Oreochromis niloticus: one gene and its partners. The protein of the gene in region 1 purifies or fractionates together with the protein of each later gene. This does not show direct contact. Links are inferred from orthologs where the notes say so. Each region holds a gene or a part of one and is shown in the gene's direction. Other genes may lie near its edges. The genes, in order: 7SK snRNA methylphosphate capping enzyme, lsm4, prpf3 and srsf3b.

Region 1 (7,358 bases):
GACAGGTCGCCAGTCTGTCGCAGGGCCAACACACAGAGACAGACAACCATTCACACTCACATTCACTCCCGCATTCACACCTATAGGAAATTTGGATTAATCAATTAACCTATCCCCACAAACTGCATGTCTTTGGACGGTGGGAGGAAGTCTGAGTACCCGGAGGGAACCCACACAAACACGGGGAGAACACGCAAACTCCACACAGAAAGACCCCGGACCACCGTGCTACCTCCATTTAATTTGTATTATAGAAAACCAAACTGAAAAAAAAAACTAGCTAAAAAAATACAGGGTATAAAACATGACATGTCCAGAGATTCACTTTAGGGTTGGACTGTTAACTGTTATTTTAAGTGAGTATGTTATCTTCCAAAAGGTTTTAAAATCAAGATAAAAGAAATCCCAGTATCTCTTGCCCCTGCTTAAAAATGATAACAAAGAGGACTCCAACCCAGCCCACTCAGTTTATAAAATGTCAAGGAGTGCTTTTTGAACTTTTAATTGTAGTTTCATACCTTTTACAACTTTTACTTGATCCATCCACCAAAATCAAAGTACACGGACGTTTTCTTTGAGTTAGTATAAACTTCATATTTTAATTTATAATAACAGGACAGCCTGAATAATGAACTACCAGAACCTTTTCTATAACTTCAAACATTTATGATTTAGGTCAAGCTCACTTTATGTAACTTTACTGTGGACATGATGTAAAATCAGCTCAACATCGCGGCCATAACACAGTGAGGCTTAGTTCAGTTCACACCTATTTTTTTATGCATTTAGGGTTTCTGTTTCAATGACGGACAAAGCTATACATTTACTGAAAATCTATCATTTCACTGAAAATCTATCATTTTCAGTAAATGTTTTCTTTGTCACCACCAAAATCAAAGTTTTCCGTGTCTTAAAATTTTGATAATTATAATTCAAAGGTGATGGAAGTGAAAAGAAGCTGCCTGTACACTGCACACAATTTCTAGCTGATGCAGAGGTTTATAAAAGGCTCAGTTTAGACCAGGGGTGTTAAACAAAAGGCCCAGAATCAGACATCTTTGAAAAATGTGAAGGAGATGGTAAATGGACTGATTCTTATATAGTGCTTTTCTACTCTCCCGGAGTACTCAAAGCGCTCTAGACAACATGCCTCATTCACCCAATGACACCCACTCATACAAGCACTTCTAAACTCAAGTGCAACTAATAAGCACATAATTCACACACATTTACACTCCGATGAACGCATCTGAAGGCAATTTGGGGTTAGTATCTTGCCCAAGGATATTTGGCATGCAGACTGGAGGAGCCAGGAATCGAACCACCAACCTTCCAATCAGTAGCTGATCTGCTCTACCACCTGAGCCACAGCCACCCCTCATACATTGTAGAGTTTTAAGTCTACTTTCAAAAATTGTAAAGCTTTTCTGACTGATTATGTCTTTAATAGTACACCAACGTAATAGATAAACAATTAAATTACAAAAAAATTTGCTTCTTTTTTTCCCACACAACCCACAATAGAAATTTCTGTTTTCCATTTTTTTGTGAGTTAAGAAAAACTTTCTCCATTATAATTACAGGACAGTCTGCACAATGAGCTGCCAGAACTTCTTCTGTAATTTTACACATTTATGTTTTACAATTTAAGCCCAAAAGATTCATGTTGACAAATTTCTTTAATTAAACAGAGTGGCATTTCTCTACCATGCAGTACAACTGAGATGTGCTGTTAAAATTGCACTTTATTTTTTCTTATACTGAAATATGGCAGGAATAAAATGTGCATCTAAACTTATTCCAACTGACAGAAAGGGCATTTTTACTGACATGCGCTGTATTTGACCTCACATGTAAAATGAGTTTGAAAACCCTGCTGTAAACACTGGTCAAGATAGAAATTATGACACACTTTACAGGGCTTTCTTGTAAAGTCTGTCATCTAAATTAACTTTGAAGTTTGAATCAAAGCTATGGTACCAAAATTCAACTCAATTCAAAATTTATTTGTATAGCACATTTAAAAACAACAGAGTTAACCAAAGTCCTTCACAATCAGTTAAGAACAAGAGAAAGCAATAGGGAAACAAATATAGATAAATTAGAAACAAATACAGATAAATGAGAAGAAAACGAATTAACATTAAAAACATAAAACAGGCCTGATGGTACTCAAACTGAACTCGAATTAAAAGCCAAAGTAAAAAAGTTTTAAGACGTGATTTAAAAGACTGAATAGACTCTGAAGTACGAATATCCTCTGGTAGATTATTCCAGAGTCTGGGTGCTGCTGCTGCGAAGGCCCAATCTCCTCTATGCTTCAATAGAGACCTCGGTTGTGCTAAGAGCATCTAGTTAGATGATCTCAGCACTCTTTTGGGGTCATACATGTTGAGGGATTTCTTTATATAACTGGGCGCCATATTATTTAAAACTTTAAAAGTAAATAAAAGAATCTTAAAATCAATACGATACTTTACAGGGAGCCGGTGTAAATTTGGTAAAACTGGAGTGATATGTTCATACATTCTAACACCTGTTAAAAGACGCTCAGCAGCATTTTGGACTAACTGCAAGCGATGGAGAGATGAGTATTGAAGACCCAAATAGAGAGAATTGCAGTAGTCCAGTCTAGAGGTGATGAAGGCATGAATAAGTGTTTCTAGGTCTCTTGGAGGAAGATAAGGCTTAGCTTTGCCAATTTCACGTAACTGATAAAAACTTGTTTTCAGAACTGTGGACACTTGCTTCTCTAATTTAAAGGAGCTGTCTAAAAACACTCTGAGATTCCTTATGGTGTGAGAAAGATGAGAAGCAAGAGGACCGAGGGTATCAGTTAACTTGTTCAAAGGGCATGAGTTCCAAAAACCATAACTTCAGTCTTATTTTCATTTAGTGTGAGGAAATTCTGTGTTAATCAGTCTTTGACATCATGCAGACAGTTAAGCAAAGGCTGCAGTGGGACAGAGGCATCCAGTTTCAAAACTAAAAGCAAAAATAAGTTCACACCCTATGAAGGTATGCATGTAGCTACAAAGGGTGTGATTATGCCTGAAGATGTGTAGTGTGAGCTCTCATCACACTATATACCTTCATGTTACAAAACTCTGTACTAAAAAGAGGACGTGTGTGTGTGTGTGTGTGTGTGTGTGTGTGTGTGTGTGTGTGTGTGAGGAAAAGGCAGTAGCTGTGATTTTTAGGGATTATAACTACAGGGATTGTTTGGCCACTACATATTTAATGTTTGAAATATTTTAATACTAGGGGAAAAAGGGCATAAAAAATAAATGTGTAAAATTAGAGAAAAATTGCAAAGACTGTTCTAAAATGTTGAAACAAAAACATTTTGTCAATGTCTTGAATGTCTTTTATTTATACGATTAACCCACTGTAAAAATCATACATTTCTACAGTAGATAGTGAAAAACTGGAACTTTATGTTTTTTAATTGTTTGTGTATTATTTACTTTGTTGTAGTATAAATGGCCAAGGCACGGGGGAACGCTGTAGAAGTTGTTAAAATTCTGTTGAATATAAATAGTTTACGTCCTCCTTCACATTTTCCAAAGCCATTCAGTGGGCTGCTTTTGCCGGTTGATTCTCGCCCCCAGTCCTCATGTTTGATACCTCTGACATGCATAATTAGAAACGTGCATTTGCAAAAGTGCATGCACATCAGTTGGGAAAGAACATACAAAAGGAAACTGTGAGGTTGCTGCTTATCAGTAAACTTTATAAAAACCTAATGTGCAGGCTATGCAATACTCAGGTTACTAATAAGGCCTACTCTACTATTAGTCTACTAGGGCTGTAAGGGTGTATGGATTAAAGTCTGACTTTAGGACTAAACAAATTAGTCGAATAATCGAGTAGCAACAAAGAAACTAATCTCAACTAGCTGAATTGATAGTCAGGGTAGTTAACCAAGGCGGGAAAGCTCTATGTTCACTTTAGAGTGTCCCTCAGCCCTCCTGTTTTGTTAAGTTGTTCCCTTTCATATATTGTCTAATAAATGAATTAAATTTAAGCTGCTAATCAATCAATAACAAAACTATCATCGGCTCTAATGTTACCTGCAGTAGGAGGCTCATTATAATATCGTAGAGGGGAGTTCTCCTCACCGCCTCGCAGCCACCAGTCAGAGATCTCCGCCCCAGTCATCTTGGGCTACAGCTCGGAGCCCGGATGCGCCGCCATGCCGCCTCTGTCAGCGAATGGAATAATTTATTCACCAACCTGCCTCACACTGGCCCACTAGGAGTTGACTGAAGAAGTCGACAAGACAGTTTCGTGGCCACCGGAGCCTTTGCTGCCTACAGGCCAGTGCAGGATACCCGAGCCGTGCCTGCTCGCTTGTTTGCGTAGCTTAGCACTGTTGTGTCGCTGTAGGGACACTTGTGTGCTAGCTGCGCTAACGTTAGCTCAAGCGGAGAGAGTGCGGGGTAGTGACAGTCCGGCCGGAGGCGGGGAGAGCCGCGAGCTGCGAGGTGAGACTGTTATATTTTGATGGTGGTTGCTACCCTGTTGACTACGCGTGGCCATCTGGGAAATGGTATCACTTTCGTGAGTGTGACTCACGATTTTAGTGGGGTTCGGGCAGCAGCATATCGAGGTGGGTACTTTGGTGCTTGTCTGGTAGCGCTTTCTGGCCGGAGTAGAGCGTAACGTTTACTCGACGTTTCAATCTTCTTGGCCCGCGATAGAGAAGCTAAGAGCTAGCTTGCTAACTGGGTAACAGTGCCAGACGGGGACTCCTAAACTTTTCAGGTCAGCAACCCCTGTGTAGACACGCTTCAGATACCACAATACAGATGTGATAAGGGTGTGAGCCAAGAGATTCACTGTATCTAAAAAGATGAATTTTCTGTATTGTTATTAGGAAATCACAGTGGAATGTAAAGGGTTATTTTTTAACTCCCACCTCATAGGTATAAATACAGATACAGTGGCCCTTGGATGTGCAAGTGCCTGGACATCCCAGGATGCCTTGAGCATATTTTTGTAGTAATATTAGCCAACTTATGTTACTTTACTTAACAGATGTGTGTGTGTGTGTATGTGTGTGTGTGTGTGTGTGTGTATGTGTGTGTGTGTGTGTGTATGTGTGTAATCACAACAATGAGGAGGCACCAGGTTTAAAGCAATTTTGTTCACCATATCTAAAAGAATGTTAAGTTTATGGCATCAGTTTTCCTTCCTGTAACTTCTTTGTTTCTTTTGTTTTTCAGGCTCAGAAAATTGCCCCCCACCCCCCAAAAAAAACAAAAACAACAACAACAACAAAAAACCCTTCTATGTCTTCATCAGCTCTGAAAATCAAAAGAGATGTCTGTTGATGAGGATACAGCAAAAATGGGCAGTCCACAGCCTAGCTCGACGTCATCTCTGCAGCTCACGGATTGTCCTGGAGGTTACGGTGGTGTGTCTGTGATGATGGAGGAAACTGCAGCTACCCCTGACTTTGCAGCTGCTTGCCCTCTTCTGGGCACTGCTGCCTCGCCAAAACACACCAGCACAACTGATGCGCTCACCCTCGCAGACAATGCTGGACAGAGAGCCAGAGGGAACGAGAATAGCATCAATCGCAGAAATAGCTTTCATCATTCCAAACAACAACAACAACAACAACAGCAACAACAAACGAAGCTAACAAAGCGGCGCTACACAGCAAATTCTAGTTTCAAGCATCCTTCATCTGGCAAACGGCGACGAAGGGCCAACTCTGAGAGCGATTCTGTCCTGCCCACCAACTTCCTCTTGGGTGGGAACATTTTTGACCCGCTGAATCTCAACAGCCTGCTGGATGAGGAGGTCAACAAGGCGCTGAATGCAGAGACTCCCAAATCCTCTCCGCTGCCAGCAAAAAGTCGAGACCCTGTGGAGATACTCATCCCCAGGGACATCACAGACCCACTGAACCTGAACAGTGGGATAGCTGACAGCAGCTTTTTGGCTTCTCCCTTCAAGAGTGGAGGAAGGAAGAGACACCGCAACAGGCACCATGGGGGTGGAGGTGGGAGTGGTGGCAGTATTGGGATTTCAGCCACACAAATGAACCTCTCAGAATCAGGAAAAAGTGAAGTTAAAATAGGTCCTTCTGTACCTCTTCAAGGTACCTTAGCCTCATGTTCTGCACTAGAATCCAACAACGAATCCGGTAGTGTTTCTAGTGTCATGGCAGAGTCCCACGAGCACACAGATTGCAGCTCAGCAAGCTGCAAGGAGGAGATGCCGCCTGCATCCGTGGAGGATTCCACTTTAGGGGCACCGTACCAGCACACAAGTAGACGCAAGCGAAGGCGCAACTCGGGCAAAATGGAGCCCCCTGTCACCCATTCTACTCCAATTGGCAAGTCGGGACCTGGAGACAGGCATTTTGGTGCAGGGGGAGCAAGAAATTCCTTTCACACACCAAAATCTGGTTCCAAAATAGGCCCTGGAATACGCCAGCACCAGCAGCCCCACTCTCATACAAAGGAACAGCAGAAGAAGTTCCAGTATGGGAATTACAACAAGTATTATGGATACCGCAACCCGGGCTGCAGTGAAGACCCTCGTTTACGTCTGCTTCGTCCCGAGTGGTTTAGAGGTAAAGAAGTACTGGATTTAGGGTGCAACTCAGGCCATGTAACACTCTATATCGCCAAAATGCTAAGACCCGCCCGCATATTGGGCCTAGACATTGACAGTGGTCTGATACATGCAGCTCGTAAAAACATAAGACATTATCTGTCTGAGCTGCAGACCCAAGAGGCCAGGCGAGCAATGCAGGGCAAAAAGACTAGTAAACAGGAGGAGACAAATGGAAACGCGAGTCACACGGGCACAGAAAAAGAGCACAATGAAGCCGAGAGCAGGGACGAAAATGGGAAACCTGTGAAAGGAGAAAGTGGCCCTGCAGATACTGGAAATGACAATGAGTCGTGTCACACGGATGAGATGGAGACCCAGAGGCAGGGCAGCAAAACAGAGGAAATGGAGCAAGAAGACTGTGATTCACCCCCCGCTGATCACTCTGAGAGCTGCTCTTTTCCTGTATCCCTACGGATCTCCAGGGGTCCCATTGCTGCACCCCCGCTAACACAAACATCCACGGTGCAGCCTGGGGAGTTTCCTTCAAATGTGTCCTTCGTCAAGGTAAGAGAGGATTTTTTTATTTATTTTTTTCCTTTCGGGAATATGGCTCAGATTTCTGTGTTGCTGCATATTTTGAACCTAGATGGCAAATTCAGAAAAATTTAGACATTGTGTGTGTCCTGCTTTATAAATTAATGTTAGGGTAACTGAATAAAATGTGTAAAAATGCACAAAAATGTGAGTGCATTATGAGGACTGACCAGCCTCTCAAGAGAACTTGA
Region 2 (7,547 bases), on another chromosome or scaffold:
AAAGAATAAAAAACAATAATTTAGGCTAAAGATTTCATGATTAAACTCTCTCTGTCTTGTGTTTTCAACTTTATCTATTGTTCATCTGTCTATATTTACTGACATAACTCCTATGATATCCATTTTTTAAAACTGAAATAATTTCAATAATGTCCCAAGTCACAACTAACAACATCTAATATTTATGAAAATATATGCATTATTACCTTTGCTGCCATATGGTATGTGCTCATCATTAGTGACTAATACTTCAGATGAACACGGGATATTTGAAAGCATTTAGAAACAAATATTATACCGTATCCATAGAGCAAAAAAAAATGTGTAATAAAAAGATGATATAAATAAAAAGGGAGTAATTTGTTTACTGTCTGCGGCCTTTCAGCTGAAGTAATCTAACACACTGGTGAGATCACCGAACCGGTCTGTAGCGTGTAACTATTCAATAATGCCTCCCCCCAAAACTCTAAAGGGTCAGAACTCCCACAAAAGTACTCGTTTCTTTCTGTACAGTTGCAACAGAGTGGAGCAGGAACGACCTGACGCCATTAATGGAGCAGCTTTAGTCTCCTCAACTTTTCCTCAACAGACAAAAGAGACAACGACAGCGGATAAAAGAGCCCAAACCTGTAACGACCACAGCCCGTTTACTGTTATCCATCTCCCGTCCCGATCACGAGGAACCGCTGCCTCTTTTTTCTCGGTCTTTACTTTGAACAGGGTTAGAGTGAGAGTCCACCCCGCAGAGCTGACGGCTCCTTCTCCCACACACAAACCGGAGGTACTCCCTCCTTCCGCAGGCAGCCTAAGACGTGACGTGATTACGTCAGCAAAAATACGTTTTTGAAAGATTTTTTTAAATAGTTTTTTTTAAAATTTTATTTGACAAACAGTGAGTATACAACATACGAAAAGATGAAGTATACAGAAGAACAGAACATGAACACACAAAACCAGGGGTAAAAAGAAAAAAGTAATAATTATATGAATACACGCAAAAATTCACATATATATATTGTTTTGAGAGCCTTTTTGTTGGTGGAGTCTGATATTGATTGTATGTACAATTCCACATGCTTAAGAAAATGACAGAAATATGGTGTTTTATTAGTAAACTTACATTTATGGATAAAAAATTTAGCTAAAAGTATTAACAAATTTATTATAAAAAACATTTATCATTCTTCTTGGGGAACTTAAAGAAACAGAATAAAACATTTTCCCATCGTAAAGAAAACTCCCTTAAAATATGGACAATAACAAACCTGCTAAATTCCTTCCAGAATCTCTGTGTAGAAGAACAGTACCAAAAAAGATGTGTCACAGTTTCTGGATGATCCCCACAGAAAGTACAATTAGTATTTATGTCTCTTTTAAATTTTACCATGTAGTGACTGGCAGGATAACATTTATGTAGAATTTTAAATGAAACTTCCTTCACCTTATTTACAATCAAATATTTATGGGGGATCATCCAGACTGTCTTCCAGTTGATATCTGGAACATATCGGTTCCAGTAAGATATTATATATGGGAGAGAGACGATATCCCCTTGGAATAAACTGCGTATTCTCTTATTGCTGTCACCAAGTTCCTGTGAAAAGCAGATTTTCCCTACTGCTGACTCAGCTGTATCTGGGAGAGTGAGTGAGGTAGATATTGAGCTGTCAGTGTTTTTATATAACATTAAAGTACCTGAGGGTATGGCACCAAGCACCATTGAGAATTCCCGAACACTGACTGGAAAATTATATAGTGCAATAAAGTCGTTGTAAGTAAGTAGTTGTCCCCCTTTATTAACCAGCTGAGCCACCAATAGGATCGCATTTTGGACCCAAGTTTCCAGGAAAAGTGATTTATTTTCAAATAAAATATCTCTGTTGTTCCAGATGAGGTATTTGTGTGGTGAGAAGTTGTGTTTATAAATGAGGGTCCATGCTAAGAGGACCTGCTTATGGAAGGATGAGAGTTTTACAGGGAGTTTCTCAACATTGTAATTACAATATAAAATTAAAGCTGCAAGCAGCGATACGAGGGCCCTCGCACCCCGGCACGTCGAGCCAAGCCCAACACCTAAAACCAGCGCGTCCGATCTGATGTTATATTGATGGAATTCATGCATTTAACCACCAGCTAACATTTCATCTAAATCAACCATTATTATAGTCGTCCCACTAGGTGGCGCTCTAACCATTACTGACAAATGCCATAACAAACATTTCCGAGCTCGAGTCTCATCACGCCTGCGACCTTTGGGAGAGACTGGACATTGTATTTTTGAGTGACAGCAGATTACTGCTTTTTGGCGAGTGATTGAAACTCCACGTGCCACCATGACCACCCCGTTTCCCTGAACGTAAAAAGCTTCGCAATTTAACATCACAAAGGTCTTTAGATTCCACACACAGGAGATCGCGGCAATATGATGAAATCCCTTGGAGGAGTTCGTCAAAGAACGAGGCCTGAAAAGAGGGGAAAATGTCGCCAAAATTACACATTCATTTTAAAATAGCCGACTTCCTGTTGGATTTGGGATATTGCTCCAAGAGACTTTTTTGTACATCTTGATATCTCCCACAAGCTTACCAGGTTTCAGACTCATATATAAAACACAGAGCAGGGGCTGTTGTTTTGAAATTGTGTAGGGGGCGCTGTGGAGCCATTTTGCACTATTCAAGGAAAGTGATCACATAACAACAAAGCCCTCATCACATTGGAGGTGTGCGCCAAATTTCAAGACTTTTTAAACTTTCCAAGCCCCTCAAAAGCCACTTCATCTTTCATGGTGAACCGCGTTGCCACCAGGGTGCGCCGTTCAGTTTAAAGTCACAATTTTCGCACTGAAGCATCATGATGGACTGATCGTGATATTCACCGCTTTTGAGGTGGCCACGACGAACCTGTGAAAACCTGCGTATTCCTGACAATGGTCACATCAATCTGTTCAGGGCGGGTCTGACATCATGCCTGTAAAGTCTGGTGCTGATGCTGATCAGTCTGGATTTCATTGAGCTATACTAATTTGTTTCTTCATGGCGAGACATCAAAGTTCGCCATGCTGCTGGGGTCACACCCTTTCGCGAAAAGTCACAGATTTCACTGTAAAGCAAGACCAACTCCTTAAGGCTTTCCTGGAGAAATTTGAGGCTGCAGATGTCACCCATCATAATACTGAACCCCAAAGTATAAAACATGACATTTCCTGCTCCCACTAGGTGGCGCTGTCCCTGATGTCAAATATGGCAGTTGAAATATGTTCAGGGCTGGAGCCTTATCGTATGTGTGCTCTTTGGTCCAGATGGGACAATGTATGACAGAATGAAAGGCAATAATATTTTCATGGCAAGTCATCGAAATAACCCCTCCAAACGGGTCTTATACTTTCCTGATAGTGGTTTTAATGGGGGTTTTTTCTATTACCTCTTTGTCTGTTTCTATTGCTCATTTATTTATTTGTTTAATTAAAAAATATAAATCCATCCATTTCCTGCGTTGAAGATGTAACTTCAAAAATTAACATTATTTTCATTTTCTATTAAACTATTTACATTACTGTGCAAACGTCTTGAGCTACCCGTTTTTTTATATTTTGCAAATAAAATGGGAACTAGGTGCATTGAAGCATGTGCAAACATACATGAAAATACAGAATACAAAGCAAAAAACAGTCTATACAATTCTAACCAGCATGAAAGTCAATATTTACCTTAATTCTTCAACACAACTTGAACTCTATTAAGGTTTCTTGTGACCGTTTTTTAATATAGCTGTTTACTTAAATGATATAGGTCAGTGTAAGTGGTATTAGAAAGAAAGAAAAAAATAAAAAGCATATCTCTGAAAATGGTCAACTATTAGGATGGACTGTAAATGAGTTAAAAAGCAATGAATTTCTAAGGAAAACCTTTGAAAGACCTTCAGAAAGCCTGGAGAGCTGTTGCTAATAACCGCTTTAAAATAAGAAGAAAGTGGTTATGGTTGTATTCTACCTTATAATGATGAACAATGTGTTGAACTCTGTGTTTTTGGCTGTTGACCTGCTTTTGGATTTCATGTAAATCGTGTGTCTCATATATGAAAACTTTTCAGTTATTTGGATAATTCTCCTCCATTTCCCAGTGTATTTGTTGACTTTAACAATCAATAGTTTTAAACAATTGGTAAGGGACTAAAAATGTAAGAAGAAAGAAGAATAGTATTCCTTAAATAACTAATCTAACTGTTTGCTCACCACCAAAACGCCATACAGTCTCCGGTTATCAGTTTTTAAATCTGTGAGAAAACATGGTTCAGATAAAGGGGATTTTTTGCTAAATTAAACACCCACTGGTGAATTATCTTTATAAATAAAACAAATGAAGGATATCTTAAGTATATCTTGGGAATAGGAGAGATGCAGCATATAAAAAATGCAATTTTATTTTTATATCTAATTATTTTGATATTTTTTACTTTACTTATTCTTATTAAAGTGGCACATTTTAATCGTTGCACCTTTCATTTGTTCTCATTTAATATTGGAAATGCGTGTTTCTGACAGTAGAGGGCAGCATCATATAATACAGTCATGAATGCGCCTCGCAGCACCGGAAGACAAAGAGTAACAGTAGGTGGGAAAATCGTGTTAGCAAGTAAGACACTAAAAGAAAAAAAGAAACCATCAAAATGGTGAGTTGTTAAAACTTTTCTTCTCTTCAGTGGCGCTGAGAGTGCTAGATTTTCAGCTAGCACTCTCAGTGCTAGCAGCATCGCCTTGCCTCTCCATACTCGGTACGTTAGCTATGTGAAGTTAGCTTAGCAGCTAAATTAAGCATCGATTACGTACACTAGTTGTTTTTAAATAAGTGCAGACTTAATACATAGCTTTAGAAAGCTTTTAGGTCATGCTCGACGTGCTGAGGCGGGGATTTATAATCTTATTTAGCTCCATACTCTTGCAGTTTTAAGGTTACTGACAGTTCATAGGAGTCGGTGAGTAAACGACGTAGACCTGAAGGCACTCTTAAAAAACCTGAACATAAGAGCACCTTCATGTCTACGCTAAACACCGCGGCTATGGAGACGTTTTCTTTGGACTATAACACTCCTGGCTGTTTTATGTACTCTCGCTTCAGTGCTCACTTCGGTAAATGCCGTTGATTACACACGTTTCGCCATGTTTGACCTGGTTCTCTTTTGTTTTGCAGCTTCCCTTGTCTCTGCTGAAGACTGCCCAGAACCACCCTATGGTGAGACTGACTTGGACCATGTATACAATTTTATATAACAGGCTGTAAAAAAAATATAATCGTGAGGAGAGAAAGTGACATCTCAAGATTTCTTACATGTAGAAAGCAGTGAATTGTAAGTGTGTGAGCAGAAAATGATTCAGGTTTCTTTTGAAATTTATACTGTATATAATTGTGGCTTCAGCTCTCTCATTTTATTTTGCTAAACTATAGCCAGTCCTAATTTCTTTTTAGAACTTTAATTGGCACAAGTTCAGTTTATTTTTTGTAGTGAGTATTGAAACTTTTAATACAGCTCTGAATTCTGAAAATATTCTAAGACAAGTTTTTTCCCCCCCTCATCTTTTCTCTCTGTAGTTGGTGGAGCTGAAGAATGGAGAGACGTACAACGGTCACCTGGTCAGTTGTGATAACTGGATGAACATCAACCTGAGAGAAGTCATCTGCACATCCAGGGTAACACTGACCTTGCTCTTACAATAAAGCTCTAGATTAATGACTGATGGTTAGAAAAGACAGTTTTCAGTGTTGTGTGCAGAGATATCATCGTTTTATATAAAGGCTGAGTAAGTTATTCACACTTTTTGGTGGATACACCTGCTGGCTGGCTGCGCTCTGGTGTTTGTGCACAGCCCTGCTTTTCTCTAACTGTTCCAAAAACACTGATTTGGACTGAGCCACACATTACTCTAGCTAAATAGCTACAGGGAATTTTGAATGGGAAAGAGGAATGAGAGTGAACTTCTGGATTTTTTTTTCCTTTTGCTGTAAATACACTACTAAAGTATTGTTTCAGTACAGATATTTCTATATATGTAGCTGTTTGGTCTTACGAGAGAGTGCTTTTTTTTTTTTCTTTTTCTTTTCTTTTAATCTTGAGTTAATTGTTAAGCCAATTTGATGGAACGACAGCCCCACTCCCCTCTCACAGGATGGAGATAAGTTCTGGAGAATGCCTGAGTGCTACATCCGAGGAAGCACCATCAAATATCTGCGAATCCCAGATGAAATCATCGATATGGTGAAGGAGGAGGTGGTGTCGAAGGGGCGTGGACGTGGAGGCGCCCAGCAGAACAAACAGCAGGGCAAAGGAAGAGGAGCAGGTGGCCGAGGTGAGTGGAAGCAGCTTTTGTTGTTCGTGCTGGATGTCTTAATAAACATGGGACAGTATTGAGTATTGTTTCCACATTTCTGTCAGTTCTTTCCAGAGTGTTTGTAAATAAACAAATTTACACCTGATAAATGTAAAAATAAATTATCCAAGTTCAACTTTAATTTCACTGAGGTTAAAGAATTATCGAATCCCTAACCATTCTAGGAACCCATGACTATTATCGTAATCATAGCTGAAATTTCTGACAGCTTCTACCACATATGTTTATGGATGATTTGACCAACAGGAGCCTCATAACTTTTTCTTATAAGTGTTTAATTTAAAGTCTTTTCATATCTACTACCTTCCTTTTTTTGTTCACATGAGAGGATTGTGGCTGCTTCACATCAAAACCTGATATGATTTGTAAAAGATATTAAACAGATCTTCCCAGTTGGGCAGCACGGTGGTGTGGTAGTCAAAAATGTGGCCTCTCAGAATGAAGGTCCTGGGTTTGATTGCATTGTGGTTTCTGTAGGCCTCCAAATCTGCTCGCAAAGTTGGACATCCACAGATATTTTGGGGATTTGAAGGATTTATGTTAACTTAAGGTACACTCTTGAAAGTCTGTACTGCTAGAGCCGTAGTACCAGATATTTCCGTATTTCCATAGACCTAGCTAAGGTACTTTTCTTAGAAAATGGAGTTTTAATTCCCAAGTGCATCTTTCACCCCTGATTTTCTTTTTCCTCTGACAAACTTGTGATAGTCAGGTGTGAGGCATTTCCAGTTATTAAACGTATATTGGTCTTTACTTGGTGTTGGTGGCAGGTTCTTTATAACTTTACATTTTTCTGTTTTCAGTGATACATACCAATTCTCCTTAACTGTATTATTAATTTTATTTATTTTCAATGAATTTTAAATATTAAGATTTGTTCATATTTACAGGGGATTGGGAATACTTTCTGTTACCTGATCTAACACAGGCTTTCTCTCACTTTCTCTGTAGGTCTGTTTGGCAGCCGTGGCAGAGGGATGACCGGCCCCGGTCGGGGTCAGCAGCAGCAGCAGCAGCAGCAGTCAGATAAGAAACCAGGAAAACCACAGGGAATGAAGAACCAGCACTGACAGACGACGCTGCACCTCTGACAACGTCCTGTTAATCAGTGATTCTTCCTTCAGCACATGAAGAAAAAAAATCTCTTTGGTGTGTTTTTCTGCTG
Region 3 (7,623 bases), on another chromosome or scaffold:
TAGATTCTGGTTTTACTTTACTTTGGTCATGTTCAGTCATTGGTTTGTTTTTATTTTTATCACTAACGAAATATTGCCAAATAGTACTATCTCACAAACAGAACTGAAAAACTGTTATTCATGCTTTTGTTTCTTCGAGATTGGATTAGTGTAAATCATCACCAGTTATTTATTGTATATCTGTGTGTACATAGTGTATATATTAGTGTAACTCGTAATTGAGCAGCCTACACAAAGCATCATTGGACTGTTTGCAGACTGTACAGAATGCTGCCAGACTTCTGAACAAATCACCAAAGTTTTCTCATGTCACACTGCTACTCTCCCAGCTCCATTGGCATCCCATTGACTCGAGAATACATGTCAAGATTTTGGTTCTCACTTATAGGGCTCTGAATGGTCAAGCGCAAGCATGCATCTAAGAACTTTTACATCTGTATGGCCTTAGCAGATCCCTAAGGTCATCTGACCGAGGCCTGCTGTGCCACATGCAAGGGTAAAAACTAAAGGTGACAGAGCCTTATCTCAGTAGTAGCACCAGGACTCTGGAACTTTCTCCCCTTTAGTTTTAGGTCTGCAAACTCTGTTCAGCTTTTTTAAAAGCAACAAAAAATCTTTTTACAATTGCTTTTAATGAACTATTTCAATGTACTGATGTCTGATGTTTTTTGTTTTCTTTTGTTTAGCACTTTGTGATCAATATCTTTAAAGGTGCTATATAAATAACTAAACTCACTTTTGCTTACTTCATTGTATGAGATTGAAGACTAGGGGGTGGGCAGAGTCTTTCAGTCTGTGGCACCAAGGGTTTGGAAAAGTCTAACATTCCAGCTGCAGTGGGGAAAATAATTATTTCATCATCTGCTGAATTTGAAGGTTTGCTCACTTACAAAGAAATTAACAGTCTGTAATTTTAACGGTAGTTTTTTTTGAATGGACAGAATATCAATCAAAAATCCAGAAAATAAAACACGTTACATAAAAGTTACAAATTGACTTGCATGTCACTGAGTGAAGTAGGTTTTTGATCCCCAAAAAATGTGTTAGTGCTTGGTGGAGAAACAACTGTTGGCAAGCACAGTGGGAAGATATTTCTTTAGTTGGTCACGAGGTCTGCACACATCTCAGGAGGGATTTTGTGCCTTCTTGGGCAGGGAGACCTTATAGCATAGTGTTTTACCAATTGTGTTCTTGGTGACTGTGGTCCATTTATATTTATTCCATTTCATAATAATCACACCAACATTTGTCACCTTCTCAACAAGCTTCTTGCTGATGGTCTTGTGTAGATCTACAATCTTGTCCTTGATGTCATTGGACAGCTGTTTTGGTACTGGTGGTCAAAGTTGGAAAGAAAGAAATTGATTCTGTGAGCAGGTGTGCTTTCTAAACATAGCGAGTTAAGTTCGGGAGTATCTGTAATTGACTGAATGTAATTTGTGTGCCACATGGACACGCAGCCAATTTGTGGGAGGAAGAAGTGTGACTGGCACTTATTTCAGTTAAAGGCATGCAAATCAATGCATAACTTTTATGTGATGTGTTTTTTTCTGGATTTTTGGTTGATATTCTGTCCCTCTCTATTAAGATAAAAATTAGCGGCTATGCATTTTTTTTTTTCTAACTCAGCAAAACGTACAAATTCAGCAGGAGAATCAATTTTTCCCTACTGTACATTTAGCTGACTCTTCGACAATTGAATTCTTCTCTGTTTAACCACGCTTTCTATTGAAATTCTATTATTAATTATATTTTTATTGTCTTTTTTATTGTTATGTCTTCTACCATAGTTTTATATTGCTAGCACTTTATAAATAAACATCACTTACTTTCTATTTCGTCACTCCTTAAGGGACAACTTCATTTTTATTGAATGACTTTCTTTTTTTGTCTTTAGGTTTGTTTTAAAAGAATTTTAAACACTTGTCTGGTTCCCCCTTAGCGAGGTCAGGCCTGCAAACTTTGCTCATTGCAACTGCTGTAGTTTGAAGTTTGTTTGGCCGGGCATGCCTGGTGGAAAGCGTTGCCTCTGCCTATCAGGTCCAGCTGCCTGTGTCAGTCAAAGAGTCCATGAACCTAACTCCAGTATCCAGGTGGCTGTATAGGATAGTTGCCTGATAGTTATTGTTAGAAAAGGGCCAAAACATCCCTTGGGATTAACTTCTTGTTGGAACGGGCCTAAAGTGGCCACTAGAGGAACTAATGCAGTTTTTGGCACTTCCATATTGGCATCAGTTTTCAGCTCCAGAGGCAGCCACATTTGTACAACACATACAATGGAACAATAGTCACTGCTACTTGCAAATGTCATTACATAACTGACAGCCAACGAGGTCAATCTTGCCAGCAGCAGTTATTCTTGGGCAATATATCAGTGAATACCTAAAAACAACAACAACAACAAAAACAACCCAAGAAGCAATTACATACTCCACGTGCATATCTTCAAATGTTCTTGTTTTCCTGAACCAACAGAGCTTAACTCCATAATGTTCACTTTGATAATAGTTACCTTTAAAAAGCTGGAAGCCATGTGGTAAACTATTTTGCTTAAATTATGGTAAAATACATTTAATTTTCAATTGAAATAGTAGCTAATATATAAATCATTAGACTGTTTCAGATCAAAACATTGCATTGCAACTTGCATTCAACAATTTAAACAGAACAAGGAATAATTTACTACACTCAATAACTTAAATAAGTGATCAGTAAGACCTTGTTTTTGGGAAAACTAGATATATGACATTCTGATTTTCCTCAAGGTCACAGAGAAAAATGGTTTCAAAGTGAAAACAACAAAAGGCGTTTGTTGTGGTGGAAAAAGCATGTAATCAAAGTGCCTCAGATTTCCATGTATTATTCTGTGGTCCTAATTAGAGGCTTCCTTTAAACTACCAGATTTCCTTCCATATTCACACAACTTGGGTTGTAGTGTGCTTGTAAACATGGACGTAAATATTAAGTACATGAGTGATGAATCGGCAGGGGATGATGATGGAGGTGTGTTGTTCAGTAGGAGTAAATGAATGCATCTGTAATGACTATCTGACATTTTGGTGATAGAGAAAGAGCATGTGTTGTAACTAAAGCATGCTGCGTATGCAACTCTTCCTGATGGTTGCACGTGGCATTAGCACTGTGAGCGAAAGCATGGATGTGGTTTGCTGTAGACAGAGCGAGTCATTTGGCAGCCTGGTGTAGCCTCGGGCTCTCTGCAACTGATTCATGCTCACACTACTATAAGTGCACGCAGTTGACCCACATCATGCAAAGAGAGGGAAAAAAGTCAGGAGGCGGGCATTCAGGGGAAGGAAATGGAGATCATCTGATAATTTTTACCAGGGGACTGGGTTCATGACTGAGCTGCGGTTAATAATTAGGCAATATTTATGACTAGTTTGACTTCTGTGAAAATCATAGAAACACTGCGCTTTTAATATGAAGACAAAGCCCTATCATGAACCTTGTAAAGGAGAAATATGAGAATACTCTCTGCCAAAGCTCTTCATCAGCTATTTTTTCAATTTGGATTTTTATTTGCAATTCAGATCACTCTCTTAGTTCCCAGAATGTAAAACATTAGTTTTAATCCAGCTTTAACTAGTTTTGGTATTTGAAGTTGCCAGGGAAAAGATTTAACCTCTTAACAACCACCAAGTCACTGCTGATCCACTTAGTGGTAGGCTTATGCTGAATTTTACCAAGAAGATGAAGAAGCATAGTCTCAGAAACTAGAAGACATTATTACCCTTAATCCTAAACAGGTGACCTGGGTGAGGTTAAGAGGCCAAGAACATGATATGTATCAAAGAATAAACACTTTTTCCATACTTAAAAAAAAAACAAAAAACATTAATCTCACTTTACTGATGTATATACATATTGTTGTTATAGTAACATTAATTTTCAAGTCTATTCTTTATTTCAGTAACTAATTATTTCGATTACACCTAGTGTTCAGCTAGAGTTTCTATAAATATATTGCTCTGCAATTACATGATGCCAACAACTTGATAGTCAGTTAGCTTAGTTTGATTTAAATGGACAAAAGACTGCGTGTATCACCAGACAAATCTGCTAAAAAAAAAAAGTGTAATAAATTTTTCTATATACGTTTGACTTCTACCATCATTTTGTGCTGTTAGAGAATTTTAATCCAGGATCCAAAGACTGCCATGGCTCTCTATTATAATGTGTCCCATGTGTATTATAGCTAAATAGGCAGATTCATTAATGTGTTTTCGCTGGTGAAAATGAAAACTAGTTGGGGCTTGTATAAGGTTAGTTGAAGGAAAATGGGTTTGAAAGCGAACTCGTCAGGATAAAACGCAGTGTGCATAGTCACACCCACAAGACAGTTTTAATTCCTGGAAAAACCCTGAGCTGTGGGCATAATGCTATAACGACACAACATTAACCTGGTCAAGAACGAACTTTCACGGATAAATAAATTGCCTTAACCCTCAGATTTTTAAAACTATTTGGGAGAAATACGTTTTACCTTGTGGAAAACAGGGATATTTCCATACATGTGCAGATAGGTGGAAACACCGCACACTTGAAACGAAACGACTCTGCGGAAAAAGTCCACGAAGAAGAAGCTGCGTCCATTTCCTGTTCCGGGGCTTGAAACAGAAACGTCGTGCGGACGCGCGACTAAACAGAAAGTTTTGGAGAAAACTTCGCACGTTGAGTGTTTCACGCGTCTGAGTCTTCATCGTTTTTATTTGACCTCCACGGCGTAAACGGGCTGACTACGATAGAAGAGTAATCTAAGGTTTGTAAGCCTCATGAAGCAGTTATTCCCCGGTGATGGTAGCTCGCTTACACCAGTGTGCTAACGTTAGTTAGCATCTAACCAGGGAGGTTTGGCGGATGTGATTGATTTAACAATGTATGTTGCTACGGGCTGGCGCTTTAATTTAATCAGTCTGATTTAACACTCATCAACTAACAAAGTGCAGCAAGTTCGGAGTGACTGACTGTTTATGTGGGAGTTTTTATTAGTTGCAAACTGGTGAACGTCTGTGTCAGAGCAGCTGTAGCTAAGTGAATAAAGGACGGCGGGTTTTGGAGCTCATGTTTGGGACTATCACATTTGTGTGATATAGGACTAATCAAGGCCAGAAATCACGAAGATTTTGAGTAATAACCATGCTCAGTAGCGGTAATCCATGACATAAGTATTTGATGTCCTGCAGGATTGGAGGATGTCTCTTCCAAAGCGGGAGGTGGAGGAGTTGAGGCCATGGGTGGAACGCACTGTGAAGAAGGTGCTGGGTTTCTCGGAGCCCACTGTGGTGACTGCAGCATTGCACTGTGTGGGAAAGGGACTAGACAAAAGGAAGACCATAGGTAAGTTCGGAGAAATATCTCTTATTTATTTAGAGATCTGGTGACGATTCAATTCAGCCAAAAGTGCCTCTGACATCAGAGGTATATCCCAGGGTGATTTGTTTTACCTTCTTACAAAATGCACCCATCATTGCAGAGAAAAAAGTCCAGCCAAGTAGCAAGAGTCCAACAGCAGTCTGAAAACCTATCTGGCCTTCTTAGGAGTATTTGACATGACTACCAAGCTGTGGGTTCTTAACATAGTGCAGACAGCCAACCCACAAAATGATGGCGTGAGGATCTGCGATGTAGCTATCAGCAGGGCTTGTTTGCAAAGGTAATAGATTTGCTGTCCAGTTAAAATACTGCAGTCATTTGTTCATTCAAATGAAAGATTATGAGTACAAAGAAAGCTGCCTATTGCTTTTATTTGTTTGTTTGTTTATTTATTTATTTATTTCATCTGTCTGGGAAATAATTGCTTGGTCTGTTAGACTGTGACTTCTGTAGGTGCTGTAGTTTAAATGTCAGTGTATATTTTTATGTGGGTATTTAAGCTATTCTGTGGTAACAGTATTTTCTTTTCAGAGTGTTAATTATTTCATATTTATTGTCCTCAGACCAACTGCGTCCTTTTCTCGATGACTCTGCTGGAGGCTTTGTAGAGCGGCTTTTTGAAGCCCTCGAGGAGAGCCGCAGCACACGTGGGAACAAAGGATCTGGAGAAAAAAACCGGAAGAGAGAACTTAAGGTAACCTAACATCATAGCAAATGTTCATACTTTATATTATCATTATATAACTGAATAACTAGATCTGGAGGTGAGGAGTTTTCTGACAAAAAACACGCTCATAAGCAAAAGTGACCCGTTTAAAGAAATTAAATACATTGCATTCAATGCATGCAGTGATTAGTCTGATTGTGTTAAGCCTCAGTTTGATTAACTTAAACCTCAGTGTAAACATCCCCTTACACTTCCTTTACTCCAGCATTAGACTTAATTGAGGTTTCACTCAGATTGCACTTAACTTTAGTTCTACATGGACTGCACTGATACAATACTGATTATTCTTACGGAAAGTTTAATTGCTGCATAAGATATTTATTTTTATTGGTGTTTGTGTGTTTGCCGGTTGTACTCAGGATGTGTTTGGTGAAGAGGCTGACACAGGCGCAGTGCGAGAAACTCCCGAGCCAACAGATGGCACAACGGCAAAGAGGAAACGAGTCCCCCGTTTTGAGGAGGTGGAGCAACCTGAGGTGATACCAGGACCTCCATCAGAGAGCCCCGGCATGCTCACCAAAATGCAGGTACATGATACTTGGTGCAATAGACAGTAGACAATATATATATGTGTATATGTAAGTATAGTGGCTTTATTTTCTTTGTCAGTCACCTCTGAATCCTTTTGCTGTCCTAACAGATCAAACAGATGATGGAAGCAGCCACAAAACAGATCGAAGAAAGGAAGAAACAACTAAGCTTTACTGCTCCAGCTCCTGCTACAACAGTAATGAGATTTCTTTCCCATAAAAATACATACTGAATAAAGAACTGCCGCCTTTTCAGGCTGTAAATTCTATTTGAAACCTTTCTAATTTCTTTCTGACTCTAGCGGTTGCCTGTTCCCACTCCACAGTCGCAGCTGGATGCCCCTCCACTCTCTCGACTTCTTGGCACTGCTGGTGCTGCAGCAGCTGGTGGTGGGTCATCCATCGCTCCCTACCAGGCTGCCAGCTTCATGAATGATGCAATTGAGAAGGCCCGTAAAGCCGCTGAGCTACAGGCTCGCATTCAGTCCCAGTTAGCTATGAAACCTGGCATCCTCGGAGCTTTGGGGAACACTGGGCCACAAAACTTTGTGGCACTAGCTAATCTACATGCCATGGGGATTGCTCCACCGTAAGTGATGTCAGACTATAAATATAAGATTTTAAAATATGCACAAGACATGAAAAAAGTAGGTGATGTCTTTGTGCTCAATTGACATTGAACTGCTTTCTCTTTATGTGTAACTACAGCAAAGTAGAACCCAAGGAGGTGAACAAACCGACACCTCTTATCCTGGATGAGAAGGGAAGAACTGTAGATGCCAGTGGCAAAGAGGTTGAACTCACACACCGCATGCCTACGCTCAAAGGTACATACATGGATACAGTGATCCAATATTTGTACACAAACATGCACAATGTGTTTTCTTTGTTTTGATATTCCACAAAACATTTTTCTTTCCCTGTGTAGCTAACATTCGAGCAGTAAAGAGAGAGCAGTTCCGCCAGCAGCTG
Region 4 (7,088 bases), on another chromosome or scaffold:
TCCACTCTCAAGGTGCTCCAATGCAAACAGAGGACAGAGAGATTGCCCCACCTCAGCAGTTTCTGGAATGTGTTGGAGTTTTCTATCCAAGTGTCAGATTTAAAGGTCAGCCTAGAAAATAAATGATATACATGCATAACAATTACTTCCACAGTTTGCCTTTTGTTTTTCTTCCCACAGTTGCCAAGTGCTCGCTCAAGGGGTCGTCTGATTGTTGAGTCTTAACCTTACGATATAAAAGCACCTTAAGGCGACTGTTTTGTGATTTGGCGCTATATAAATAAAACATGAATTGAACAACTGTAAATGAAATATTCTCATCATTCCAATTAATTATCTTGACTTGAGGTGTCCCATCCACATACCTGCTAAACACCATGGTAACAGAAGACAATGAGGAGCGGTCTTCTTGCGATTTAGGTGAAAAACACCACATAGTTCAGCAGGGTGGTGTAGGTTTCAGGGTCCCAAGGCCCAACTGAATGAAACATACTGTTTTATGTGAGCTGTTGGGGGGGTTTACCAGAATGATTGAGTACGTGGTTAGCACAGACTCAAAGGTATTGAGACTGTATTACTATATTTAATCAAGACTCTGTGCATGTTACTATGATTTCCGGCCATTTGATAAACAAAAAATGTATTCCAGAGGAAATGAAACCCCTTTTTTTTTTTTTTGTAGTCATGTTTTATATAGTGGGCGGAAGACACATCTGTCTGTATATTCATCACATGGAACCTAAAGTTAAAAGTGAAGTAAGGGCTAGATAATTAAAAAAATGAATCTGAGCACATACCATTTGGCAATATTTTAAGGAAAATTTAAAACTTCTTTTTGTGTGTGCTTTTTCCCCCAGTCTGTTACAATATTGTTCTTTGCCATCTGTGATTGAATCACCCTTGTTTCTTTATTTTAAATTCCTGTCAAAGAGATTACAGTCTTTCTGATATCACAACTCCAGGAAGCCCAGACTTAACCATTATCCCTCCAATTCGGACTGTAAATAATTAGTAAGCTTGAAACTTAAATGTCTTTCACTAAATATGTAAGAATACATAAGCATTACATTTAAAATAAAAGGTCAGTAAGCTCAACTGTGCTGTCATAAAGAACACTTATCAACATGTCCTCTATGTTCACATTTCCCAGTTCTTCTTGATATCAACTGAGCACAACTATTTTGAATCCAACAATACAAAAACTTTGAACTCTTTGGTCAAATGTTTGGCTCCTGACTTTGCAAGCTAGTGACTGCTTCAGTGTAAAGATCCTCCCTAAAACGGTATGAGGATGTGAAACAGTCATGTATAACAAGAACGCCTAGCTAATATGTTCTTGGCTGAGCATGCGGACGCTTGCATTTGACAGACTCCGTGCCCCATGTCGAGCTATATGCTTTCCAAATGCAAAAACTGTTGCATTGTGTTCATTTGTCCACTTCAGTGCAACTCATATGGAGTGTGCAAACACTGTCCATTCAGCCTCAAAAGTGAAAGGTGCAGCTCTTCCTTGTTCCTGGAGTGTGTCAAATAACTTATTTTTGCAAGTTTTACAGGGAACAAGTGGTTCTTTTGTTTCGCAAATTCAGGTCAGAAGCCGCTGCTGAAAGTATGCTGAAACTGTAAAGACCCTTGAAGTAAATTTGGGATTTGTAATAAGGGGGATATGTGAATAAAAATGCACAATTATAAAGTTTTAGTGTTATTATTAGAGGTGTGAGCCATTATAGACATGCAGAAAATGCTTAAATTGCTTGAGACTTGACGTGTGACTCTTTAATTACTTAATGTGGGTTTAAACAACTTTTTAATTCTCTTGTCACACACACACACAATAGCAATGTGTGTGGACTGTTATGATACCACAGATACCCTAACCCCCTGTGACATATAACTCATTAGTACCATATATATTTTCTTAAAATCAGGAGTCTTTGAGCTCTAGTAAAATGTATTCAAGGTGCAAAAAGAAGGCTAAGTCTGACTATACAAATACCCTTAAACAAAGAAGATACAGCACCTATAAAGTGCTGTTATCGCGCTAAAAAAAAAAAGAGCCTTGGAGGTTTGTTTTAATATCCAACGGTGCCGTTATGCTTACACCTGGCGCAGACTTACCTTTTTAACCGGTTTGTGAGTGGGCACAGCGCTGAAGACAGTCGACAGCTCTCCCATGGTTATTTCGCTGTTTTTGCTCACAGTCATGGCTGAATATTTTTCCGCTACGTTCTCGCTCTCCTTCACCTCTTTGCTCGCTTGCTTCACCTCCAGCTTCGCTTCTCCGACCGGTTCGGACATCTCGCCGCTGGCTTATCTATCTTTACCCGGACAGAAATACAACAACCAACCGTTGAGCCTTCTCTAACGTCAGAGGCTAGCGTTATGTTATGGGTGTCCTCGAACTGCTAGCTGGTTACGTCGCAACTGCTAACGGAAAAGAGACTGTCAGATTGGGGGCACGTGAGAGCAGGCAATAAACGCAGGATTTAAGCAGGTGGTTTTGCCTAGTCGACTTTGATTTGGTTGTGAATCGTTACGTAGTCGACTTCTTAACGCAGGCAGGACGTGGTCCGTGCTGTTTCCCGGCTGGCTCTCCTGTCACCTGGCTGGCCAACTTTGTGGGCGGTTACTAACAGACTGAGTGGGCGGCTCGCGTGTTAAGCTACGTTCAGGGTAACTCGGATAGCACGCAACGAATGATGAACGCGTCCTTTAATTTATATTTTAATGTATATATATTGCCTTTTTGGCCAAATTTGACATGTTAGATCCCGTTATAGTATAGTACTTTCTGTTTTGTGAGATATGGCGGACGTATGTAACTTTAACTTTACAGTTACAGTTTCCCCCACATTTTAGTCGTGATCTAAGCACGAAGTATGTCCCAATTCCACACTGTAAATAAAGTCAATGAACATACGGTGTACTCATTTGTTTTGGCAGGGAGTAAAGCAGCCTTTGTACTCAGGAAATTGGACGTGTATCAGTTATCCGTGGATCAAGCTATTATGTTGGAAAACCACTGGCAGAAAAATCTTAGAAAAATCTTGCCAAGGAAATACAACCATAACACGTTTTATTTATTATTTTTTCCCACTTCTTTTCTGAATGATGAAGTTATCTTATTAGCCACAACTTACTCTTTTCAAAAACAGAAAAATTTCTGTTTTCCAATATGCATTACATTTATACATTAGTATCTCAGTAATAATAAAGTGATATTTTGCATTTGCAGTCACAACGAATTATCACCCTTGTCACTTATCAGAAAGGGTATAGACAGACGAACTATGATACTGTATGTGGAAGTCAGGGTTGTTAAAAAAAAAAAGTAGGTGAGTATGTGAGATTGGTGCAGGACACGAGGACAGCAAAATAGGGGTGAGGTGTGTGGTAGGAGTGAAGGATGGATTCAAGGTGGGCGGGTGATTACATCAGAGGATCGGCAATGTAGTCCCTTCTCGTTTGGAGGAGTGATGGACAGGCTAAGAGATGAGGTCAGACAGGAGTCTATGTGGACTATAATGTTTGTAGACAACATTGTGATCAGTAGTGAGGGTAGGGAGCTGGTGGAAGAGGTTTGGACACAAAGTTAGAGCGGCAAGGCTGAGATGGATTGGACGTGCAGAGTTGGGATAGTGAATATATTTTACAAGGGATGTTGAAAATGAAGGTGCAACGCAGTAGAAAAAGCGAAAGACCACAGATAAGATTCATGGATGTAGTGAAGTAGAGCATGATGAGGGCTGGAGGCCAGGGATAGGGTGAAATGAAGACAGATGACCAGATGACCACTGTGGCGGAGACCCCTAAGGGAGCAACCGAGAGAAGAAGAGTCCTAAAGTGCTTTATTGTACAGAGTACAATTTATTTACCTTTATTAGTTCAAATATCTCTATTTCTCTCAATATCATTTGAAGAAATACTTTACATCAATTTAACTATGCTATGTAACTCGTTAGTAACAGTAACATAATTTTTCCTTGAGCGCTGGTAAATGTATAAACTTGGACAAATCGCGGCTCAAGACTTTTGCACAGAAGTGTAGCTGCGGGGGTTGGGGTTAGGCAAAGGAAGGAGGCGACATTAACCCCGCCCTCTCGGAAGTGGCATCCTGTTACTCCACTGACGTCACGCCATTTTCCACCGAAGACGAAAAGGCACAATTTAGCCGGGTCACAATCGATCATCTGAGCTGATATTTACATCTAAAACGGTAGCGTTTCAACTTATTGTGTTGTAATATGTTTGTAAAACGACCTGTTGTGAGTTTACTTCACATATGTGAATGTATAGTATAAATTTCTGCGGCTGCTAGCCGAGTGCCGCTACCGCTGAGTAGGCCTCGGTAGGCGGCAGCCATTTTAGCTCCCCGTAAATAAGCTGTTAGCTATCATTACCTTCGAAACACAGTGCAGCGTCGAATATGCAACAATATAGTTGGAGATATAAAGCAAACGAGTTAACTAAGGCATTTTGGGATTCGCTTCGTCTGGATGTTTTTTTGGTTTTTTTAGCTTCCGTTAGCATAACCTGCAAATCCAGCGCAGATAGTAGGCCAAGCTCTCTATTCGTTTGTGGGTCATTAGGCAGCATGTATTGCACTGTGGTTCATGGCTGAGCGAGAGAGAGTGTGACCAGTCTTTGTCTTAGAGCTAAAACATTAATATTATTCTGCTCATTTTTCAGATACAGTCATGCATCGTGACTGTCCCCTTGACTGCAAGGTCTACGTTGGAAATCTCGGCAACAATGGAAACAAGACAGAGTTAGAAAGAGCATTTGGCTACTATGGTCCTCTCCGGAGTGTTTGGGTGGCCAGGAACCCCCCAGGCTTTGCCTTTGTAGAGTTCGAAGATCCCAGAGATGCAACTGATGCCGTGCGGGAGCTTGATGGAAGGTAGGTGGCAATCTATTCAAGTGTTTTTATGCATGCTCAATCATCCAGGTCAGGAAAGTGGACTCTGTTCATCTGGACATGGCGTTTTCAGGGGAAGAACGCTGCATCCACATGAATAGTCTACTTAAATTAAAGTATTGCTATTGGATCAGTACTACTCTTTCCTCCAAGTTCAGTACATTGCTCCCATTCCGCAGAAAGGAGAGCTCCTCTCATGCAGTCACACTTTTAACAAAGATAATGTGTTATTGGTCATCACATCTATTACATTAGCAGACATTTAGACTCTTCAGACATTCAAATAATGGCCCACTGAAGTGTGCTAAGTACGTCATTTTATTGGAAATGAGGAAAAATACTTTCTTTTCATGTTTTGTTTTTTTTCTTTTTCTTTTTCTTTTGCAGGACTTTGTGTGGCTGTCGGGTGCGTGTGGAGCTATCTACTGGCGAGAAGCGTAGCCGCACTCGGGGTGCTCCCCCTTCATGGAGCAGGCGTCCTAGAGACCGAGACGACTACAGGCGGCGTAGCCCACCACCCAGACGCAGGTGACATACATGTTGTTGTTGGCCAGTGGACACGATAACCAATCTATTCTGCACTTTATTCTTGCTTGGTCACTTACCGGTTCAACTTTCTTGCCCACAGTACAGTTCCCTTTAATTGCATTTGGGTTTCCAGTGTAGGTATTTCTAGTGTTTGTGACCTTTTCTGGTGATTATATATTTGTGGGTGTTGCAATGCCTAAGGCTTGCAGATTCATCTTCATTGACATTAATGGTCATTTTATGGAAGGAGCCACACAGATAGTCATTCACCATCATATAGTGGAAAAAGGGGCATTATTTCAGAATGTAGAGAGGGCTGCCTTTCTGTTTCTGAGGCATCTAAAGTGTGGTCTGCAAGACCTAGGTTATACTTAAGGCACAAATGCTTCCTTTGAAACGCACGTTTTTGTGCAGTCTCATTTGAACTGTTTTAAAAAGGCAAAAATGGGTGTGGGGAAACAGATTTAGGCAGTCGGTAAAAGTATAGGCTAAGTATAAGTATACGTTTTGGGGGGAATAAAAGTGCCAAATGTGATGCAAATTTTTTTCTTTTTGTTTGAGGATGCTTTTTATTTTTCATCTATATTAATAAGAATGAACCCGTTGCAGAGCCACCACCATGCCTCTTCTCACCACCCTCTGAGTCAATCAACTAGTCCTCTTTCAGCATCATGTGACTGCTGATCATCGGGCCGCAATCAGCTTGGCTGGTGCTGTCACATGACCCAGGCATGGCCAGTCGTCAGGTTGCACCAGCCCATTGGTTCCTCAGCATGCCGTTCTCAACCTCCTCCTCCTTCAACCTTAACCCAAACGGCAGCGGCCACCTCACATTCCCGACCAATCAGCGTATTACGTTCCCAAATGTCTACAACCTGCCAGCAGCAGCCTTCGGCTAACCAATTAAAGCAGGAAAAAAGCCACAGCCAGCCCCCATCTGCCTGCCACCTAATCACCTTGCAGCATCTGGCCAGTCCTATTCAGCCAATTCTACCCACCCGGCCGACAGTCTGCCTCCCTTTCGTCATTTCTAGCTTGTTGAAAACCAAAAATACTAGTAAGTTTTCCTGCTTCATTCAGTACACTGCTGATTACAGTTTTAAAAGTGAAGAGACAGCTGGTTTAAAAGGGTTGTTCTTTTTTTTTTTATTATTATTATTTTGATCATAAGTTTGTCATTTTGTCGTCCACCATTTCTGTAGTCCTTGTTTCAAAGGGGGATGGACCAACATCAAATATCTGGAACATCATGTTTCCAGAGATTTCGATGATAGATAATCATCTGGTATGTCTTGGGGCTCTGAGCAGAATTATGAAGTCACATCAAAACTTTCCTTAAACACCCCCTATGAATATCAGATCTTTTTTTCGTGTGTGTGTGTGTGTGTTCCCGGTTTGAGATCTTAGCCTGGCTGTTTCACGAGGCTTATTCCCTGTGAAAAATAAATTTTGGTACCAATTTCTGTACATTTTTCCCTTAAAGTGCAGTGGACTGAATTCATACAGATGGTGGCCCAAATGGTGTGCTGGGTTTTTGATTCCCCACATCAGAGCCGATCCACAGTACGATATCAAATTACCTTAAGATGGAAATCCTGCTGGTGTTTCATGCCTCAGAGCTCTGAATCTACTGCTTAAGAAT

Evidence for each region.
Region 2: the proteins of 7SK snRNA methylphosphate capping enzyme (region 1) and lsm4 purify together in Homo sapiens (affinity purification with mass spectrometry; 3 studies listed by BioGRID and IntAct, with this or other methods). This does not show direct contact. The link is inferred for Oreochromis niloticus from reciprocal best matches to the Homo sapiens genes MEPCE and LSM4.
Region 3: the proteins of 7SK snRNA methylphosphate capping enzyme (region 1) and prpf3 purify together in Homo sapiens (affinity purification with mass spectrometry; 4 studies listed by BioGRID and IntAct, counting the BioPlex papers as one, with this or other methods). This does not show direct contact. The link is inferred for Oreochromis niloticus from reciprocal best matches to the Homo sapiens genes MEPCE and PRPF3.
Region 4: the proteins of 7SK snRNA methylphosphate capping enzyme (region 1) and srsf3b purify together in Homo sapiens (affinity purification with mass spectrometry; 3 studies listed by BioGRID and IntAct, with this or other methods). This does not show direct contact. The link is inferred for Oreochromis niloticus from reciprocal best matches to the Homo sapiens genes MEPCE and SRSF3.

What each region holds. Positions count from the first base shown.
Region 1 is NC_031975.2:12,333,122-12,340,479, forward strand, and holds the start of 7SK snRNA methylphosphate capping enzyme, read left to right. Parts: upstream 1-4,348; 5' UTR 4,349-4,487; exon of another isoform or gene 4,488-4,612; intron 4,613-4,633; exon of another isoform or gene 4,634-4,767; intron 4,768-5,228; 5' UTR 5,229-5,325; coding exon 5,326-7,137; intron 7,138-7,358. UniProt on the Homo sapiens protein: S-adenosyl-L-methionine-dependent methyltransferase that adds a methylphosphate cap at the 5'-end of 7SK snRNA (7SK RNA), leading to stabilize it.
Region 2 is NC_031980.2:32,135,596-32,143,142, forward strand, and holds the start of lsm4 (U6 snRNA-associated Sm-like protein LSm4), read left to right. Parts: upstream 1-4,530; 5' UTR 4,531-4,665; coding exon 4,666-4,668; intron 4,669-5,186; coding exon 5,187-5,228; intron 5,229-5,585; coding exon 5,586-5,684; intron 5,685-6,159; coding exon 6,160-6,340; intron 6,341-7,333; coding exon 7,334-7,452; 3' UTR 7,453-7,547. Other genes in the region: pyroglutamyl-peptidase 1, read right to left, coding at 628-661. UniProt on the Homo sapiens protein: Plays a role in pre-mRNA splicing as component of the U4/U6-U5 tri-snRNP complex that is involved in spliceosome assembly, and as component of the precatalytic spliceosome (spliceosome B complex).
Region 3 is NC_031976.2:21,498,649-21,506,271, forward strand, and holds the start of prpf3 (U4/U6 small nuclear ribonucleoprotein Prp3), read left to right. Parts: upstream 1-4,618; 5' UTR 4,619-4,780; intron 4,781-5,204; 5' UTR 5,205-5,213; coding exon 5,214-5,358; intron 5,359-5,957; coding exon 5,958-6,088; intron 6,089-6,480; coding exon 6,481-6,648; intron 6,649-6,761; coding exon 6,762-6,848; intron 6,849-6,953; coding exon 6,954-7,240; intron 7,241-7,359; coding exon 7,360-7,478; intron 7,479-7,579; coding exon 7,580-7,623. UniProt on the Homo sapiens protein: Plays a role in pre-mRNA splicing as component of the U4/U6-U5 tri-snRNP complex that is involved in spliceosome assembly, and as component of the precatalytic spliceosome (spliceosome B complex).
Region 4 is NC_031970.2:21,883,382-21,890,469, reverse strand, and holds the start of srsf3b (serine/arginine-rich splicing factor 3b), read left to right. Parts: upstream 1-4,071; 5' UTR 4,072-4,216; intron 4,217-4,689; 5' UTR 4,690-4,697; coding exon 4,698-4,900; intron 4,901-5,305; coding exon 5,306-5,446; intron 5,447-7,088. Other genes in the region: S-adenosylhomocysteine hydrolase-like protein 1, read right to left, coding at 2,119-2,298. UniProt on the Homo sapiens protein: Splicing factor, which binds the consensus motif 5'-C[ACU][AU]C[ACU][AC]C-3' within pre-mRNA and promotes specific exons inclusion during alternative splicing.